Linked DNA regions of Neurospora crassa OR74A. The protein of the gene in region 2 interacts with the protein of the main gene of each other region in a pairwise test. Links are inferred from orthologs where the notes say so. Each region holds a gene or a part of one and is shown on either strand. Other genes may lie near its edges.

What was found.
Region 1: the proteins of NCU01022 (region 2) and NCU03952 interact in binary tests that used the Saccharomyces cerevisiae proteins (3 or more experiments, as listed by UniProt). The link is inferred for Neurospora crassa OR74A from reciprocal best matches to the Saccharomyces cerevisiae genes UTP25 and MPP10.
Region 3: the proteins of NCU01022 (region 2) and NCU00301 interact in binary tests that used the Saccharomyces cerevisiae proteins (3 or more experiments, as listed by UniProt). The link is inferred for Neurospora crassa OR74A from reciprocal best matches to the Saccharomyces cerevisiae genes UTP25 and SAS10.

What each region holds. Positions count from the first base shown.
Region 1 is NC_026506.1:2,219,720-2,226,349, reverse strand, and holds NCU03952 (U3 small nucleolar ribonucleoprotein Mpp10), read right to left. Parts: upstream 3,978-6,630; 5' UTR 3,569-3,977; coding exon 1,190-3,568; 3' UTR 737-1,189; downstream 1-736. UniProt on the Saccharomyces cerevisiae protein: Involved in nucleolar processing of pre-18S ribosomal RNA. Required for the early cleavages at sites A0, A1 and A2 during 18S ribosomal pre-RNA processing.
Region 2 is NC_026505.1:2,700,940-2,705,121, reverse strand, and holds NCU01022 (DUF1253 domain-containing protein), read right to left. Parts: upstream 2,801-4,182; 5' UTR 2,601-2,800; coding exon 2,359-2,600; intron 2,299-2,358; coding exon 1,582-2,298; intron 1,517-1,581; coding exon 220-1,516; 3' UTR 105-219; downstream 1-104. Other genes in the region: NCU01021 (eukaryotic translation initiation factor 3 subunit EifCf), read left to right, coding at 3,436-3,543, 3,779-4,182. UniProt on the Saccharomyces cerevisiae protein: DEAD-box RNA helicase-like protein required for pre-18S rRNA processing, specifically at sites A0, A1, and A2.
Region 3 is NC_026503.1:3,361,250-3,367,819, forward strand, and holds NCU00301 (Sas10/Utp3 family protein), read right to left. Parts: upstream 4,207-6,570; 5' UTR 4,058-4,206; coding exon 2,663-4,057; intron 2,605-2,662; coding exon 2,116-2,604; 3' UTR 1,912-2,115; downstream 1-1,911. Other genes in the region: gpr-5 (PQ loop repeat protein), read right to left, coding at 1-505, 568-626; NCU00302 (3-ketodihydrosphingosine reductase tsc-10), read left to right, coding at 4,736-4,891, 4,962-5,894. UniProt on the Saccharomyces cerevisiae protein: Primarily required at the G2/M phase. Essential for viability: involved in nucleolar processing of pre-18S ribosomal RNA as part of the ribosomal small subunit (SSU) processome.

The DNA.
Region 1 (6,630 bases), on a different chromosome or scaffold from region 2:
CAAACAAGTCATCGTGATCGAGAGGGGACTGCAAATGGTCTGTCGTATATGGGTATGTATTCACATCTCCGGACCGTCTTCGAGAAGTCAATGGCTCACGAGCTGTTCCCCAGAACTAGTATATCTATGTGATTACCCCTTCAATTTTGGGTACATGCTCATAAATCCAAAAATGAACAAACTATATCAAGAAGCCAGTGGTGGATTGCAGAGGTGGACGCGGATGATGGATGTAGAATGATACCAAACATAGTCTGGACAGTTCGTCTGGCACTAGGTCTTATTAGGGCGGACGAAGAAGACGGTTTCAAACAGAATAAGAGGTAGTGTACAACATGCTTAACTGTCTCTTCATGGTCTCTTCAGCCTCGGGTTATCCCCTTTTCACTTCTCTCTTCACTTCTCTCTTCACTTCTCTCTTCACTTCTCTCTTCACTTCTCTCTTCACTTCTCTCTTCACTTCTTCTTAATCAACCAAAACCTGAGGTCCGGGGTACAGATAGCCTTGAACAAGGTAGAGGGAACTTTTTCCTTTTTCCTTTTTTTTTGTTTCTTTTTTTTTCCTTTTATTTTTTTTCTTTCTTTTCTTTTCTTTTTTTTTTTTTTTTTTTTTTTTTTTTTTTTTTTTTTTTTTTTTTTTTTTTTTTTTTGATAAAGGGCAAGCTAGTAGTAGGGGTAGGCAATCCCAAATACTAATAAGATGTAATGAAAATGGAGAGTTACCAATTTGGCTGAGGGTGGATAGCTAGACTGATTTTGCATTTTTTCACTTTGTAGACCTGTGGAGGTAGAGGTAGGTACCAAGTTATGAGTCGCTATGATCTGGGCTGAATTGGAGGAAAGATCACACGGAGAATAGTGACGGGTAACAGAAGGAAAGCATGAGGGGAAACAGAGCAATGAGGTTGGAGAGGGCCAGGATTAGTTGTTGTACTGACTCCATAATATTAGGCACACAAGAATCATCTTCGACAATGTTGAACGTGAACAGTTGAGCATTGTATACCGGCTGACGGCCGATGAAAAACAAACTCATGCATAGTTTTTGAACTCCCAATTATGTACCTATTCCATACAAAAGAAAAAGACCTTTACAGATCGCCCTTAGCCAAGACTGCCCACCCGTCCAACCCATCAGGGTATCATCCATCTTCTTCCTACGTCTATCCCTCGTCTAACAACCCGACCTTTAAAGCTTGAAGGCACCACTCGACGTAGGACCCTTCTGCTCCGCGATCTTCTTGCCATCCAACCCAACCGTCTCACCCTTCCGGTTAATAACCTTGACACCGCCCTTCTTGAGCTGGCTCATCGTCTCCTTGCGTTCCTGGGCACCCTTGCTGATGTTCTTGTTCGCATCCAGGCCGCCGGCCTTGCGGATGCGCTCCTTCTCGCGTCTGCGTCTCCTAGCCTTCTCCTCGCGGCTCATCTCCTCCTTGGCAATCGGCAGGCCGCTCTTGGCCACGACCTCGCCCTTCTCGACTGAGTCCTTGCCGGGGGCGTACACCTCCTGGGGCGCGAGCGTGCTCTCGCCACCCGACACACCCTGGGCCGTGGTGGGCATGGCGTCCTCCATGGCGACGGTGGCGACGTCGGTGACAACGCTGATGGTGGGTGCGGCGGGTTTAGGCTTGTAGTGCCAGCTGCTGAGGGCGTCGAGCTTGGCGCAGATGTCCTTCCACATGTTCTTGATCTCGGCCTCGTCGCGCGTGAGCTTCTCGTCCGAAGCGCTGACGTACTCGTCCGGGTTGGCCTTCTTGATGTGCTCCTCCTCGTAGATCTCGGCGAGAGACTGCTTGCCCTTGGTGTCGTCGATCTCAACGAGACCGCGGCGCGCGTTGTTGGGGTTATTGAGGGTGTCAGGACGTCTCCTGAGAACCTCGTCGAACTCGTTGGCAAGAATGCGGCGTTTGATGAGCGCCTCAATCGTCTCGGAAACCTCCTCGGTAATGACGGGGACAGGCTTTCCGACATGCTCAAACTCGAGGTCTTCCTCCAGGAGCGAGTTCATGGGACGAGCTTGCGCGGAAGCCTCACCGGACAGAGTCCAGGCGCGCTTGGCAACTAGCTCAGACTCGAGCCTGCGGATCTCCTCGGCAATCTTGGCTTGTCTGCGCTCGTGGGCGGACCGGCGAGATCTCGGATCACCAGCATCAAGATCCGAGAGCTTATCTTCATCTTCATTCTCCGAGATGTCGTCGAAGAGATCGCGGCGCACATCATTCTCGGCTCTCTCCATATCGGCCTCATCTGGCTGCTCAAGTTTCTTGGGGAAATAGCCTCCTTTCCTTTGGTTGCCGGTCTTCTTCTTTTGAGGTGGCGCGAAGAAGTCCTTGTAGTAAATGTCGTTGGCGGTAAGGTCCATGTCCATACCGAGAACACCATCTGTAAGGCCGAGATCGTCGCCATCGTCCTCGAGCTGCTCCACGTTCTTCTTGCCCTTGAGTTTCTTGGCGTGGGCGGCGGCAGCAGCCTCGAGGGCCTCGTCGTCTTCGGATTCATCGCCCATGTCGACGTCGTCCTCATCCTGGTCTTCGTCCTTCTTCTTGTCGCTCTTGCCCTTCTTTGATTTTGGCTTTGTCGCGAAAGGATCGGCGTGCCAGTCTAGCTGTTCGTCGTCGCTGTCGGCATCGACGTTGGGGTCCGCACGGGCATCCGCGTCCTCCCACAACTGTGTCTGCCGGTTGAAGTCGTCTATTGAGAAGAAGCCGTCGTTGAGGCCGTTGGGATCCTCGACAAGTTCTGGCGCATCCTCTTCCTCTTCTTCTTCTTCTTCTTCTTCTTCTTCTTCCTCCTCCTCCTCATCAAACTCTCCTTCTCCATCTTCGTCCGAGAATTCAACCTCTTCGCCATCGATCTCGATTTCTTCATCGTCGTCGATCTGGCTGCCCTCTTCTCCTTCTAATTCTTCTTCGTCATCCTCCTCATCCTCTTCTCCTTCAGAGCCAGAACCAGATTCGCTATCAGCATCCTCCTCATCGTCCTCCTCCTCCTCATCAGAACCAAGCTCAAACCCATCCTCTCCAAACTCAATGGTCTTCTCTTGTTCCTCGCCGGTGCCCACAATCCCGTTCTCCTCCAGCTCCTTCAGCACATCGCCAGCCTCCTTTGTGGCGCTGGCAATGATCTTCTTGGCCTGCTGCCAAATCTGCTCCGTCTCGAAGCCGTCGTCGACGTGCAGCTTGCGAATCTTGAGCACGGCATTCTTGTCATAGCCAGCCTCACGCTTGCGCTTCTTTCCACCGATGGTGGCCGCGATCTCTTTCAGCTTTGCCTGCTGGTGGTCACTGACCTGCGAGGCGAGCGCGTCGAGGGTCTCCTTGGCGAGCAGGAGGGATCCGGCGGGAAGGGTCGAGGGCGGCTGCAGGAAGACGTGGCGGTTGGACTCGTCGGCCAGGGCCGAGAGGAAGGAGGCGACGACGGGGTTGTTGGCAATTGTCGAAGGAGAGGTGCTGCCGCTCGACGATGCGGCGAGGGTAGCGGCCATGACGCTGTTGTGTGTGGAGGGGTCGTGGGTGATTGTTTGGGATGTCGAGGTTACGGAAGAGGTTATGCTGCCAGCTGCCATGTCTGTTTTTTAGGTAGGGTTGGACTAATGCTGTAAGAAGATCAATCAAGGCTAGGGTATCGAGGCTGGCCTTGTCATACAAGTGTCTGACTTGAGGGTTCAATATGGACGCTTGACTAAGAAATGGCAGGGCGTCGGTGTTTGCCGTTGCCCGTACCAAAACAAAAAAAAGTTCGACCTGACGATGTTTGGTTGCCAGCCGGCGATATTGATGGACCAAAATTTTTTCTGCCATAGCGCTCTCCAAGGTCCAGGAAACGGCGAAGCGTGGAGGCAGGCGTCCCCGCACCAGCTTATGGGGCTGGCTGTGAATTGACCAATGATGGGTGATTCTGCTCTCTGGAAATGGAAGTAGGTCCCACTTCTCTTGTTGTTAAGCTTCAGGGCGGTGCACCGCTATAAGACGAGGTTGCCTTAACACTTATAATCGGATGACAATGTCAAGTAAACAAACCACAAAGTGCATGCAGTCTCAAAGGAGATGCTCGACATCAAGCTTGAGAGAGGGGATGAATTCACAATGACCTTTTTTTAAATATAGCATACGCTAGCGAGTTACTCTGAAGTTACTGGAAACTCAGTAAGCAATCACGCAACGATCTCCAGTGCTGTTGGATAGGTGAAGTCGCCGTTTCGACACAGGCACCTAGCTTGTTATCAGCACTTCCTTATCTAAAATTCCAGACTACCCTATCAATCCCATCAGCTCGTACATAGTCTATTGTATCTTTCGCCGCTTCACTTTCGTCGTAACTGGAAGTTTCTTGTCAAACGGTAAAAGGTAATTAAATTGTGCAAGAACTGTAAAATGTTAAACCAACGATTAACCCCATTGAGGAAGAGCGCTAGGTTTGCCTCATACTAGCTACATTACAGTATGCTTCTCGTGTTCTTTTCAACATCGTAATGAGATCTCTGCGACAGACGTTGATGGACTATTTTCTGTAGAGGTAGGCTACTTACCCAGCCGGCTCTTCTTCATGGTCTGGATAACGTGCAGAGAAAGCTCTTATTACATAGTAGAAATGTAAGGGTGTTATTTGCGCACCTTCGGGGAAAGATGCTGCAAGTCATAACACTTGTTGAAGTTCCTTCACAAGCCACATCCCTATGCATATGGTATCGCCCGTGAGAATTTTGACGGACCATGAGGTATTCTTTCAAAATACGACAGCAGCGTTGACGTGCTGCATTAGGGTCTGGACCGTCTAAGCCTTCATTGAATGCAACTCGCGGGAGAGTGTCCCGCCGAGCCGAGCTGCGAGTGATACTCAAGACCTTCGTATCCCAGGCCAGGGAATTGTATCATGTTCTTTAGCGGTTGCCGAGGTCAATGTGAGGGCGATGGTGGCTTTGGTGATCCCAGCCTCTATGGTCGTGCGTTGCGTGCTCTCAATATGACCTCTTTTTCATGTTCGCCGGGAAATAACTGTGAACCTCACGGTGAAGATGTTTGCTATGTAACCACTAACTTGCTGTCGTGAACGGCGAGGATCCCATCAAGTGTCAGTGGCCTCCTGTATAGTACGACACATGAACTTGATCGCTAAGTGGCGTTGCTCGGTCCAATCGCATCACACCATCTATCTCTGCTACCTACCTAGAGTAGAATGGCCAAGTTAACGGCAACATTTCCAAAGTCGTACAGGAGGTCGCGAGAGAAGTTTCGGTTGGCTCACACTATGTAACTGCCAATCGCACACTGTTTGGTTACAGAGCTGGAAGATACGTCGAGATGGAGGGACGGGAAATACTTTTGAGTTGCCGGATGTTACCTAATTTGTCAAGCGAAGGAGATCTCCTTGTGAAAATCCGGACGGGCCGATTCATTCTTTTCTATTTTCCATATCCGCCTCCCTTCTGGCAGGCTCTATGTGAGGGTGAGAGGAGAAACTGCATCCCACAACAGGTCTTCACAACACGACTTGTCAAGAGCACCTGTCCGTCGCCCCACCCCATCTATGCTGTTGGGAGCCGTCTTGCAGCTGTACCAGTGGCAACTCGATCGTTTTCTCTTGGTAGGACCACGGTGCAAATGCTTGAGTACCGTACCTACCTAACCTCGGTCGAGACAAAATGAAAGAGACTGCAGCCGGCCCAGACCAGAATCATGACATTTCCTCTCGTTAATTTTACCTCTTTTATTCGTCTTCATGGTCATTTATGGTTCTCAACAAGTGTCTACAGCCTTACAAACTCGTAGGTGTTTTGTCAATATGCCGTTGACATCATGTTCTGGAGACCATGTTTTTCTTTTTGTCCTGGACGAGCCAGTTACGCAACCATAATGGGTGTGTATGGGGAACCTGGTGGAGGACGATCAATCGTTGTTACCCTGGAGGTGGTTTTGGCCGACCCGGATAAAGCGACTGTGCGCGATTCCAAACAGCCTGTGTGGGCCAAGGCACATGTCACCTCCCGGTAACCTAGATTAGTGGTTAGGGTTAGTGGTTAGGGTTAGGCGTTAGGGTTAGTTCCGGGGGTGTAGGGGGCCGGTGAGAGGCCCCTGCGTGTGAATGAAAGTCCAACGCTTTAAAAAAAGGTGGTTTTAAGTTCTTATTATCGTTGTTAAGATAATGACATTTGGTGGTGACTTTGGTGGTGACTTGCGGTCGCGAAAGTTGGCGCGACAGATGCCAAGCTTTGGGTCTTGGCTGAGCTTGGCTGTCGATTTGTATGGGACCCACACAGGCCATATGGAATCGAGCACAGTCGCTTTATCCGGGTCGGGTTTTGGCGTGTTTCTAGACCAATAGCAGCGCCATAGTCAGTGATTCTCTTCCTCGTTTGAAGACGTTGTACGTCTCGCGCTAACAAAACTTTTAGCATGAATTTGTAGATCAATAATAAACGAGTTGGTGATAGCCCAGACTCATCCTCGACAAACGCTCGCTTGTGGATAAGGTAAACACACAGAACACTTGGTCGCGTGCCTTTTAGCCGAACAAAGAAGGGGAGAGATTGCAGGTCTACCATAACCGTTCCCGAGGGTAGCTTCCCGGGCAACGACACGGGCAGCCCCAAGCACGTGCCTGCTTACTGAACTATGACAGGGCCGATGA
Region 2 (4,182 bases):
GGACTTGGGAGACTGGCAAACCATATGCCCCGTTCCATAGACTGGTGACTTTCAGGATGTTGTCTTATTGCTCACTAGGTACGTACAGCAGTAGTAGGTATTCTATTTTAACAACTATGCAACCAACTTTTTCAATCCATTATGTAAACCCAATCCCCTTGGCAGTTTTGATTATCCGACGCCTTTATACATACATACCATACGACTGACTGGACCTTTTTACACAAAATCAAAAGTATCGCCCTGCTCCGTAATCATCTTGCCCGCCCTCTTGGTCCCCACGATCCTCTCCAGCTTCATAATATCATACTTGCTGAACATGACCTTGACGTGCCCCTGCCCGTGCTCTAGCATCAGCGCCTGCTCGCTCTTCTGCAGGTACCCGCCCGCAATCTCCCTGTAGAAGATGGGGTTATCCGGCAAGCCATAAAAGATGACGCGCTTGACGCCCTTGATGGCGTACCGCCTAAAGTGGTGGGCGCGCTCCGTGTACAGCAGCACGCGGTGGCGGCCCGTCAGGAAATGCGAGCGCGCGCGCGACGCTTCGGGTGTGTCGGCGTACTCGGAGATGTTGCCGAACGTGACGCTCTCGACGGCCGGGTTATTGGCAAAGTAGTTGCGCACCCGCACAAAGTCGAGGTACGAGGGGATGAAGATGAGCGTTCCCGCCGCGTCCTTGGCGGCCCGCTTGACCAGCGTCGGCACGATGGCCTTGGTGAAGTAGGCGAAGCGGGCGTCCGGGTCGGCAGCAATGGAGGCCGCATCGAACCGGCTAAAGGTCTGGCGCGTCTTGACGCCCAGGTACTGGATCACGCCTGGGTATTCGGCTTGCAGCCGGGCTTTGCCTGCCCAGTTGTGGCAGTAAAGACGCTGCAACTCGGCCAGCTCGGGCGTGTTGAAGGCGCTGAAAATCACCGTCTGCCGGAAGTACTTGGCTTGGTCGTCGAGGTACCAGGAGCGCACGCGGGAGAAGTCGCAGCCGTGGGCGTCGCGGGGCTGGAGGTTGAGGTGCTCAAAGATGAACTCGACGTGCTCCCAGTTCTGCATGAGCAGGGCGTCGGCCTGGTCGACAATGACGAGCTCGATGGACGAGAGGAAGTCGTAGTCGAGCTTCTTCTTCTCTTCCTCGGAACCGATGGCCATGCGCAGACCGAGAGGGGAGGCAAAGATGATGTCCGAGTTGTAGAACTGCGAGAAGTACTTGATGGTCTTGCGAGTGAACTTCATACCGAGGCGGAACATGTCGTCGTCGTTGCCGGCGAAGAGGTCGCGGAAGTCTTCGGGTTTGTCGTCAGAGAACTTGGTGGACTTGTCGACATAGCCATCGTCGAAACGCTTGCGGTTTTCTTGTTGCTCAGGAGCGGCGACCTTGCAGATCATTTCGACCATTTTGACGCATGACTGGCGGGTAGGGAGAATCATCAAGACCTTGGGGCGGGTAAAGCCCTGGTCTCTAAGCTCAAGGGTGTCGTCTCTTTGCAACTTGGTGTTGTTCTTGATTACACGGTCACGAGTCCTGAGTAGGTATCAAAGTCAGCTCTCTGTTTACTCTTTTTTTTTTCGTGTTCCCATCAGACTTACTTGAAAACATGGTTGAGCGCATGCAGACACGCCATCCGCCTTATGCTCTCAGACGATGCCACTGACCGGTTGCAGTAAAGCATGTCTTGATAGTTGAAGAGAAGAGGTGCTACTGCCTTCTCAGCTTCGTCGAACTCGGTGTGCTTAGCCATCGATTCGGCTAATCGTTGCTTGAGCTTAAGATCGCCAACTCCAGAAATGGAATGGGGAAGTTTCTGCTCAGCTGAGTCGCCTGTCTCTGGGGTGTTGTAGTATATCCTGTTGGAGTTTTTTGCTATCCTGTCGGTCCTCCACTTGTTCGCCTGAATAGCCTTTATCCTAGCCTGAAATGTCGCCTCGTCTGGGGCAGTAAAGTGAGTTTCGAAGGGGTCTGAGTCGTCGAGGTCGTCATCTTCGTCGAACAGGTCCTCTAATGGTGCATCCTGGGGATCTTCCTCTGGCTCGTCAACTGCATCCACGTCCTCCGTCACCTTCTCATTGTCTTCGTCGTCGCTGTTATCGTCGTCTTTCGTCTTGGTAACTTTGTTCGGACCTTCCTCCTCCGGGTGATCCAACTTCCTCTTTTTCGTCTTGGTTGCACTCTGGAAGCTCTTCAGAAGACTCATGTATGGCTGACCAGACTGGGCATCCTCCTCCTCATCCTCCTCTTCTGATTCCTCAATCTCATCCTCAGAAACATTGGATTCCTCTTCAGAGATGTCCTCTTCCTCATCTTCCCTGTTTCAGTCAGTATGCTTTCCAGTTCTTTTCTGCCCTTGAGTGTTGAAATTTTCTTACTCTTCGTCCTTGTCGGCAAGTCGGGCGTCGTTGAACTTGGATGAGCGAGGGCCGAAACCTCCTCTGGCACCACCCCTCGAACTTCCCCTGCCGCGCCCTCTCGAAGCTCCTCTGGCGCCTCCTCTGGAGCCCCCTCCCCTGGATCCTCCTCTGCCTCTGAAACCTCCTGCACCACCTCTTCCACGACCTCCTCCTCCTCTTCCTCCTCCTCCACGGTCACCACCGCGACCTCGAATTGCCATTTTGATGCGGTAAGAGTTTTCTCAAATTATGAGATGTGAGGTTGGTGATATGACAATTGGTGATTGATGTGTGAAATCAGATTCAACAAAGGTGAAAAAAACGATACGGAAATTGTATTCAGCCTTGTCAACGAGCCAAGAAGAAAAAGTCCAAAAGTCCAATGGAATCTTGAAGGAAGGGCTTGGCAAAGAGCAGCCTTGTAACGCCACCCCTCCCCCTTGACCCTTGCGAACTGAAGAAAGAACAATCTCAAGTCCGCCAAGCTGAACATGGAAGTGTGGAGACCGGCTTATCTTATCTTAGCGCGCACAACACCCAAAGGTCCCGCATTGCGCTGCAAAACCAAAAATTCGAGCAGAGGTACCGCCTACTGGTCCCCATATTTTGCGAAAGCTGGATGGAGTACCTCCCGGTCTAGGGCGAGAGAATGGAAGTTAGTGACTGCCTGTGAACAGTGACGGACCCAACTCGATGGCCGGGCTGCCACCGAGACCTACCCTCACACTGGAGTGCCATTGACATTTGACACCCATTCTCGGCAGTGAAAAAAAGTGTAGTGTACAACCGTAAAAAGTGACTTCTCTTTCTGCCAGTGCCCAGCCCGTGCCCACTCTTCACCAGCGCAAGCCCACCCCACCCCCCGGCCAACCGCTAGCCTCTCTCTCACCCCGAACCCGAAAACAGCGTCTGCTGTCTACATTTTCAAAGAGCCCCATAATCTCAACCTCGACGGCTCCTCCCCTCCTCCTCGAACTCCCGTCCTGCTTCCTCTATCAACCACCACACCACCCCTCCACCATCTCTCACTCAACTACAGCCCAGCCCGTCGTCAAAATGGCTGTCGATCAGGAGTCTTTCGTCCATCTCTCGCGCCCCCTTGCGCCCAATGTGCTTGGCTTCGGTGTCAGCAATGCCCCGCTTACCGTCAACATCCAGCCTCAGGTACGTCAACAGCACCAATTTCCATACTACAGTCCTATATCTGCCCCTCCACTCCTATCTACCTAGTCCCCTACCTTGATGTCCCCCTTTGCGCATGTCAAGCTTACCTACCTACCTACCTACCTATATCCTCTCTGCTACCCCGCCGTCACCACCGCCACTACCACCACTACCATTGCCCAAGACCATACAACACCTAGCTGACATGTAGCCCTTCGCTTTCCTCACCAAATAGGCTGTCTTCTCCATCATCGACCATGCCGTCAGACGTGACGACCGCGACACCCAGTCGACACGGGTGATTGGTGCCCTCGTGGGTGTCCGCAGCGAGGACGGCAGCGAGGTCGAAGTCCGCTCCACCTTCGCCATCCCCCACACCGAGAACGAGGACCAGGTTGAGGTGGACGTCGAGTACCAGAAGAACATGTTGGCCCTGACGCTCAAGGCCAACCCCCGCGAGACCCTGCTGGGTTGGTACACCACCTCGCACGAGCTCAACAGCTTCAGCGCCCTGATCCAGAACTTCTTCGCCTCCCCCGAGACCGGCACCTTCCCCCACCCGGCCGTCCACCTGACCATCGGCACCGAGGCTGGCGCGACCATCGACACCAAGACGTACATCTCCGCTCCTGTGGCCGT
Region 3 (6,570 bases), on a different chromosome or scaffold from region 2:
GGTGATAGTGCTCGCGGATGAGGATGACACGCCTGCTGCATTTCCTCTTTCTCTTGCTCCTCCCAGCAAAGCGGTACGTTCATCCGGTCCCGATTCCAAATCTTCTCCTACCCTTCTTCTTCCTTCATCGCTCGACGTCCCCCGACTACCATCAACCCTCCCCTTACCCTTGTTCTTTCCGCGTCTACTCCCCATATCACGCTCTGAAGCAGCTTCACTGTCGTCGGAGTCAATGGCAATGGTGGGGACCACTTCATCCCGCCAGGTAAATCCCCGGTAATAGAAACATTGCGCCAAAAGCACCACGTCGGCAATGGTGTAATAAATGGCCAAGATGAGCATGGTCGGCAGGACCCCTTGCAATACGGCCCCCAAGATGTTGAAGACATCGCCCGTTAGCCAGATGATGATGAATTGGATGGAGAGCCCGTCGGCGGATGAGCGGCGGAAGTTTTCGATGATTTGCGGGGAGAAGACGACGACCCAGCATGCTATTGATACGGAGCTGTTGAGAGGGTTTAGTAAGATGGAGAAGGTGAAGTTAATTGGGAGTGGAATGAGACCTACCCGAGGATCCCCGATATGGCCTCGACGTCGAGGTTGAGGAGTTCGGTCGGGGGCGCCATGGTGGCTGCTGTTGTCCGTAGGACCGCGTGTAATGCTGTCTCACTGTTTTGTGCAACCGTCTCTTGATAGGTACAGGTTGAGAATACTTGTGGGTTTAAGCGTGAGGAAGGATGCGATGGTTGAATGAAAGCGTTTTTGTTGATGCGCTTTACTCTCCCGCCTTATCGATTGAGTTGTTTGCCCCCAAGATTCGTTGGAACTTGGATGCCCAGTTCACCTCGCTCTTTGTTGTTGTGTCCTTGTTTTGTGGGTTTGGTAGACAGGAGATACGTCACTTCAATTGAGAGCCGCCCTGAGGATTCATGAGCGGTCGGTCAAAGAGTTACAGAGTACACACTGAAGTGAGGCTCAAGATAACGATGCAAAATGCAAAGTCAACAAAAAAGGCTGAACAAAGGAAAGAGTCGACCTGATTACAATCCGATTCGAGTCATACATGGTGAAAAGTCTGATGGTCGCATGACTAGTTTTAAATCCTTTGCCTCTTCATCCGCAAACCGGTTCCCCCAAGACCCAAGGTTGACCCGCCTGGCTGCAAGATACGTGTAATGCATCCTCGGCGGCGGCAAAAGAGCCCTTAAAAGCATGCACGTCTCAGGCGGCTCAAGCGTCCCGGGCTGTAGGTGGATCTTGTGGGGTACGTCAACCGCTAGGTGAAACCCTAGTACAACAACATCCAACAACAGCATGAGAACCCTTCGAGGGAAACCTGGGTTTCTGGATAGACCGAAAACAGACTGTTGGTTTGGAACTCTTCCTTTTGCCTGGTGGGTTTAAGAAGTCATGGTGGACTGGAAAAAAATAATGTGGCATGTCCTAATCATTGCTCTAACATTCCAGTGTTTCATCCCAAAAATTACCTCTACTTCTTGAACGATCCGTGTTGAAGATACCTGTACTGAAGATAACGAAATTGAAGTGTTCGGTTTAGGATGTTGTGTTTGTTCAGAAACTGCCCAATCTAATAATTTATCATGTGGTGGTGTTACATTTATCCAAAGTTGAGATTTGGGCATTTGCATTGATTCGTCTCAGAGCTCCTATTGGCTCCCTCGCAGGCCTTGTATCCTTTCCAAGTCAACATCGCCTTCGCTCTTTCGGAATCTGGCACACAAGAAATGCCAGGGAAGGGCACAGAAACGAAGAGGAACTAAAAATTGGGATGGAAAAGAAAAAGAAAAAAAATGAGAGGGATTCTTATATAGCCCTATTCTCAGACCCGGGGTTTACCATGAACCTGTACTAACACGATTGAACAGGGTGCGAGTACCGGCGACCTCCGGTGTTGAGAATACTGGACATTGTAGATATTGTAGATCTTGAAGAGGTATCAAGTGTGTTCAAGAAATACAATGCCATTGTGTGTGCAAGCCTGCTTTTTTCCATTTCCGTTGAGGCCATGATTATCAACAACCCAAAAATCTATACATGCATGATATACCCAGAGTACTACAAACCAGTCCAACAACCACGACAACCAGAGCCCTATCAAGAAAGCTTGATACTCTTGACCAAGCCGGTCTTGATACCCGACAGTTCTCCCTGGTACCCGCCCTTGCCCTCGCCGCCCTTGTACACGGCCTTGACGCTCTTGAGCTTCTTCTGCTTCTCCGCGTACTTCATCCTCTTCTTGACACGCGGGTTGCGGTTCTCCTTCTTGCGATGCGGCGTGAGGCCCTTGTTCTTCTGGATCTGGTAGTTGATTTGGCGCTTGCCGTCGGGGCCGATCGTCGTCTCCTCCACGACCCGGGCGCCCTTGGCAGCCGCCAAAGCCTCGTACTTGGCCGCCTTGTCCTCCTTCTTCTTGGCCGCGTTGTGCGCCACCATGTCGTAGTACTCGTCCTCCTCTCCGCGCACCTGCTTGGCAACGGCCTTGTCCTCGTCGTCGCTGTCGCCCTCGCCCAGCACGGCGCCGTGCTTGCTGTCTTTCTTGCCGCGCTTCTCGGCCTCGGCGTTGAGCCGTGCTTGCCTGTCTCTCTGCGCAAAAGTCAGTATATGACAACACGGCATGTTTTTTAGGCAATGGCCGACTTACAAATCTCTCACGGTAGGGAAGATCGTCATCACCACCGGCGTTGCGACCCGCATCCGCACGCTTGGCGGACTTGGACACAATCTGGGAGGTGTAGAATTTGAGACTCTTCTTGCGAGCAGCCTTCTCCTTGGCCACGTGAGCTTCAAGGATCTCCTCGTCACCAAAGTCGGAGCGCTCATCGTCATCGCGCTTGTCGACCTTGACAGACTTCTTGCTGGCCTTGGTTGCCGTCTTGGTGGTTTCAAGCAAACTGGAGAGATCGGCAAGAGACTGCTCGACAGCCCTGGCCTTCTTGGCCTTCTCGGCCTCCTTCTTCGCCTTGGCCTTGAGCTCAGCCTTGGATTCGCGCTTGCTCTTCTTGAGCATCTTCTTGAAGTCCTCCATATCGTCGTCAGACAGGTCATCATACTCGCCCTCATCTTCGGGTGGCGAAAGCATGCCGCTGGTCGAGGAGACGCTCTTGAGCGGCTTGAGTTCCTTGACCTTAAGCCAGGCCTCGCGACAGCTCATTAACGTGCCCATAACCTCGTGGTCCCTGAGTTCCGTAGGGCTGATCGTCTTGGACACACCTTGGCTGTCTCTTGCTGGCGAAGTCAGGATAGCGAAATAACTGGCGAGTGAAGCGATGTAACACCCAAGAGTCCAGAACTTGACCATCTCCAGAGACTTGGCAGGCTTGCCCTCGGCCTCTTTTTGAAGAGTTGTGAGAATCGGCTGCAGCTCCCTAAACTCCTGCGCCAGGTAGTCAAACTCGGGATATCGGCTCTGTAGAAGCTTGTATCTTTCTTCCGGCCCCATGTCCTCTGTGACTTCGATCTCGTTGAGTTTCTCGGTAATGACATCCTCCTCTCCCTCGGCCTCCTCCTTGGTTCCTAGCCATTCGCTCTCGTCAAACGCGAAATCGGCCTCGGACATTTTGGCCAACTTCTTGGCCTGGAGCCTCTTTGCCTCAGCCTCTTCCTCCAAGGCATCGGCCTCGGTCTCGATCTGGTCGGCATTGTAGTAGTCCTTTCTGGAGGAACCCCACCATCCTTCGTCACCTTCTTCCTCCTCTTCACCACCCATCTCTTCGTCGGAAAGTACTGTTGTCTTGACCTTCTTGCCCTTCGCGGGCGCGGCGTCTTCGTGTTCGCTCTCCTCATCGGATTCGTCCTCCTCGAAAACCTCCTCGTCAGAAGCCTCTAGGAACTCCTCCTCCTTGTCTTGGCGCCTGCGCTTGGATTGTCTGCCATCATCGCTGTCGTCAAAGTCGATGCGATCCTGGTTCTCCCAGTATTCGTCTTCGGAGTTGGCGACATCTTTGTAAGTCTTAACGGTAAGGCGGGCGTCCTTGGCATCGACCTCGCGAGGCTCGGCGGGACCGGTCGGTCTCGGGGCTTTTCTCTTCTTCGCCATTTTTGCGTTTGTGTCGCGGTTATCTATTCAGGCGTGTTGGATGGAGTTTGGCGCGACTGAGAAACGTTGACGTGAAGACGCTGCCAAAAGGCACTTGGAGATGCTCGTTGAATGGGCTGGTGGGTTCGTTCGCTAGGCGGGCAACAAATGTTGAAGCGGCAGAATTTTTTTGCTCTTGTCAATTTGCGATCCATTCTCAGCGGAACCTCGACCGCCCAGCTCCACTCTCATGCAGGCTGCCTAACCCCACAATTGAAGATGCTCCACAGTTACATCTGAAATGGTCAAAGCTTCCATCCCGTCCTCAGGGTCGACGGGAAGCTCCAAGATGCCCCCCAGGCCTGCCAGATTTACGTTGACATGACCTCAATGGGTTCAGTTATGACAGTAGAGAAAACCGCTTCTGAAGACTCGAAAACGCAAACTCCAGCAAATGGTTCCAGAAACCTCATTTTCCTACGGAGTGCGAAGAAATCGGTCGAATCATCACCCATCAACAAGTCACTTACAGACAGGGGTGTAAGCTCCAGTACGACGGGAACTGCTGACAGCATCCACTAAATTTACGCCGTAGAGGTACTCGTTCGTACTCTAGACGTATACAGAATAGCTTAGGCGCCGCCGCGTCAACAATTCCACTTTCCTCGAGCCCGATCTTCTTTCACGATCCAAGGAAGGATGAACCATTATCTCTTCTCAGAGTCGCTGATGGAACAATTGAAAACCCTCAGCACCTCCTGGTCTCTCCCAGTTGCAGCCGTCGTCGCGGCCATTGGCATATTTGCTACAATGGGTCTCTTCAGCTCCAAAAACCACATGCCAGTCGAGGGCCGGGTATGCGCCCCGAAGCCTCACCCGACCTGACCCGACCTCCAAACAACACTAACTCAACCCCTGTTACCAGACCGTCCTCCTAACCGGCGCCTCCGAAGGCATGGGCCGCTCAGCGGCCATCCAACTTTCGCAAAAGGGCGCCAATGTCATCCTCGTCTCGCGCAACGTCGGGCGCCTTGAAGAAGCCCTCGTCGACGTCCGCGCCGCCGCCAAGAACCCGTCCACACAACGCTTCACTTACATCTCAGCCGACGTTTCCGAGCACGACTACGCCGCCGCGGTCCTCGCCGAAGCTATCGCCTGGAATGGCGGGCGCTCCCCGGACATCGTCTGGTGCGTGGCCGGCATGTCGACGCCTCTGCTGTGGACCGACGATGGCAGCATGGCGGCCGCACGCCGCAACATGGACGTCAACTACTTTGGGTCGGCGGAGATGTCGCGGGCGATTTTGAGGGAGTGGCTGGCACCCGAAAACAGCACGGGACCCAACGGAGAGCCGAAGCACTTGGTATTTACCGCGTCAATGTTGGCGCTTTTTGCGATTTTGGGCTATGGCCCGTACACCCCAACCAAATGGGCGCTGAGAGGACTGGCGGATACCCTGGCGATGGAGGTCAATTACTACCCAGATAACCCGGTCAAGGTGCACATTGTGTATCCCGGCACGATTGTATCACCGGGCTACGAGAGGGAAAATCAGACGAAGCCGGACATCACGGTGGAGCTGGAAAAGGACGAGCCAGCGGAAAGCCCGGATACGGTAGCAAGGAGGGCGATTGCCGGGCTGGAGGCTGGCAAGTATTTTGTCGATGTGTCATTCCTGGGAAGGCTGATGCAGTGCGGGATCATGGGCGGGTCGCCGAGGAACAACTGGGTGCTGGACACGTTGATGGGGTGGCTCATACCGATCATCTACTTCTTCGTGTTGAGGGGGATGAACTCAACGATTGTGAAGTGGGCGAGGGAAAAGGGGCATCCTTTTACGCATCCCAAGAAGAAGTGATGCGATGGTTGGATCTGTTCTTTTGTATGGATGTGTATATGATATCTATGAACATAAAAATACTGTAATAACTTTGTTGTTGTAATAGACCGATATCAGCCTCAAGACAACCTGGACAAGTCCCCCGTCTCCTTTGTGAGACACTCACCTTGAAGTCAAAGCACTACGTCTTCACCGCGATCCGGATGCGTTTTGACACCAAGAATGAGCAATCCATGCTTAGTTGGGTGACAACGACTTTATACCCTGCTTGTGTTGTCCAGCAATAAGTGTATATTCCGACGTCAAGATGTTTGGAGCACCACTTGGTGAGTGCGGAGACAGAAAGATGACTACCTGCTAAACCCATGGTATGCCCCTGTTGCAGACTGTATGAATCTTCTGGCAGAACCTGCTCTTACTGTATACTAGACTTACGGATTGTATCGATGGAATGTGTGAGCTTCGGTTCAGAGCTTTTGACCTTCGCCAGTATACATGTGGATAGGTATCAGTCGGTGAACTACATTAGCTCGGAACTCCATCCATTCCCCACGTCCCGTTTCTACGATTATCGGGCCAGCACCGTGAACAGACATGCATCATATCAATACTATAGTCATCATTCCCACCCCATCTGGACTCTCTAATACGCTCCATTTCTAGACTTTGGGGGAAACATTGATATTTCCTACAC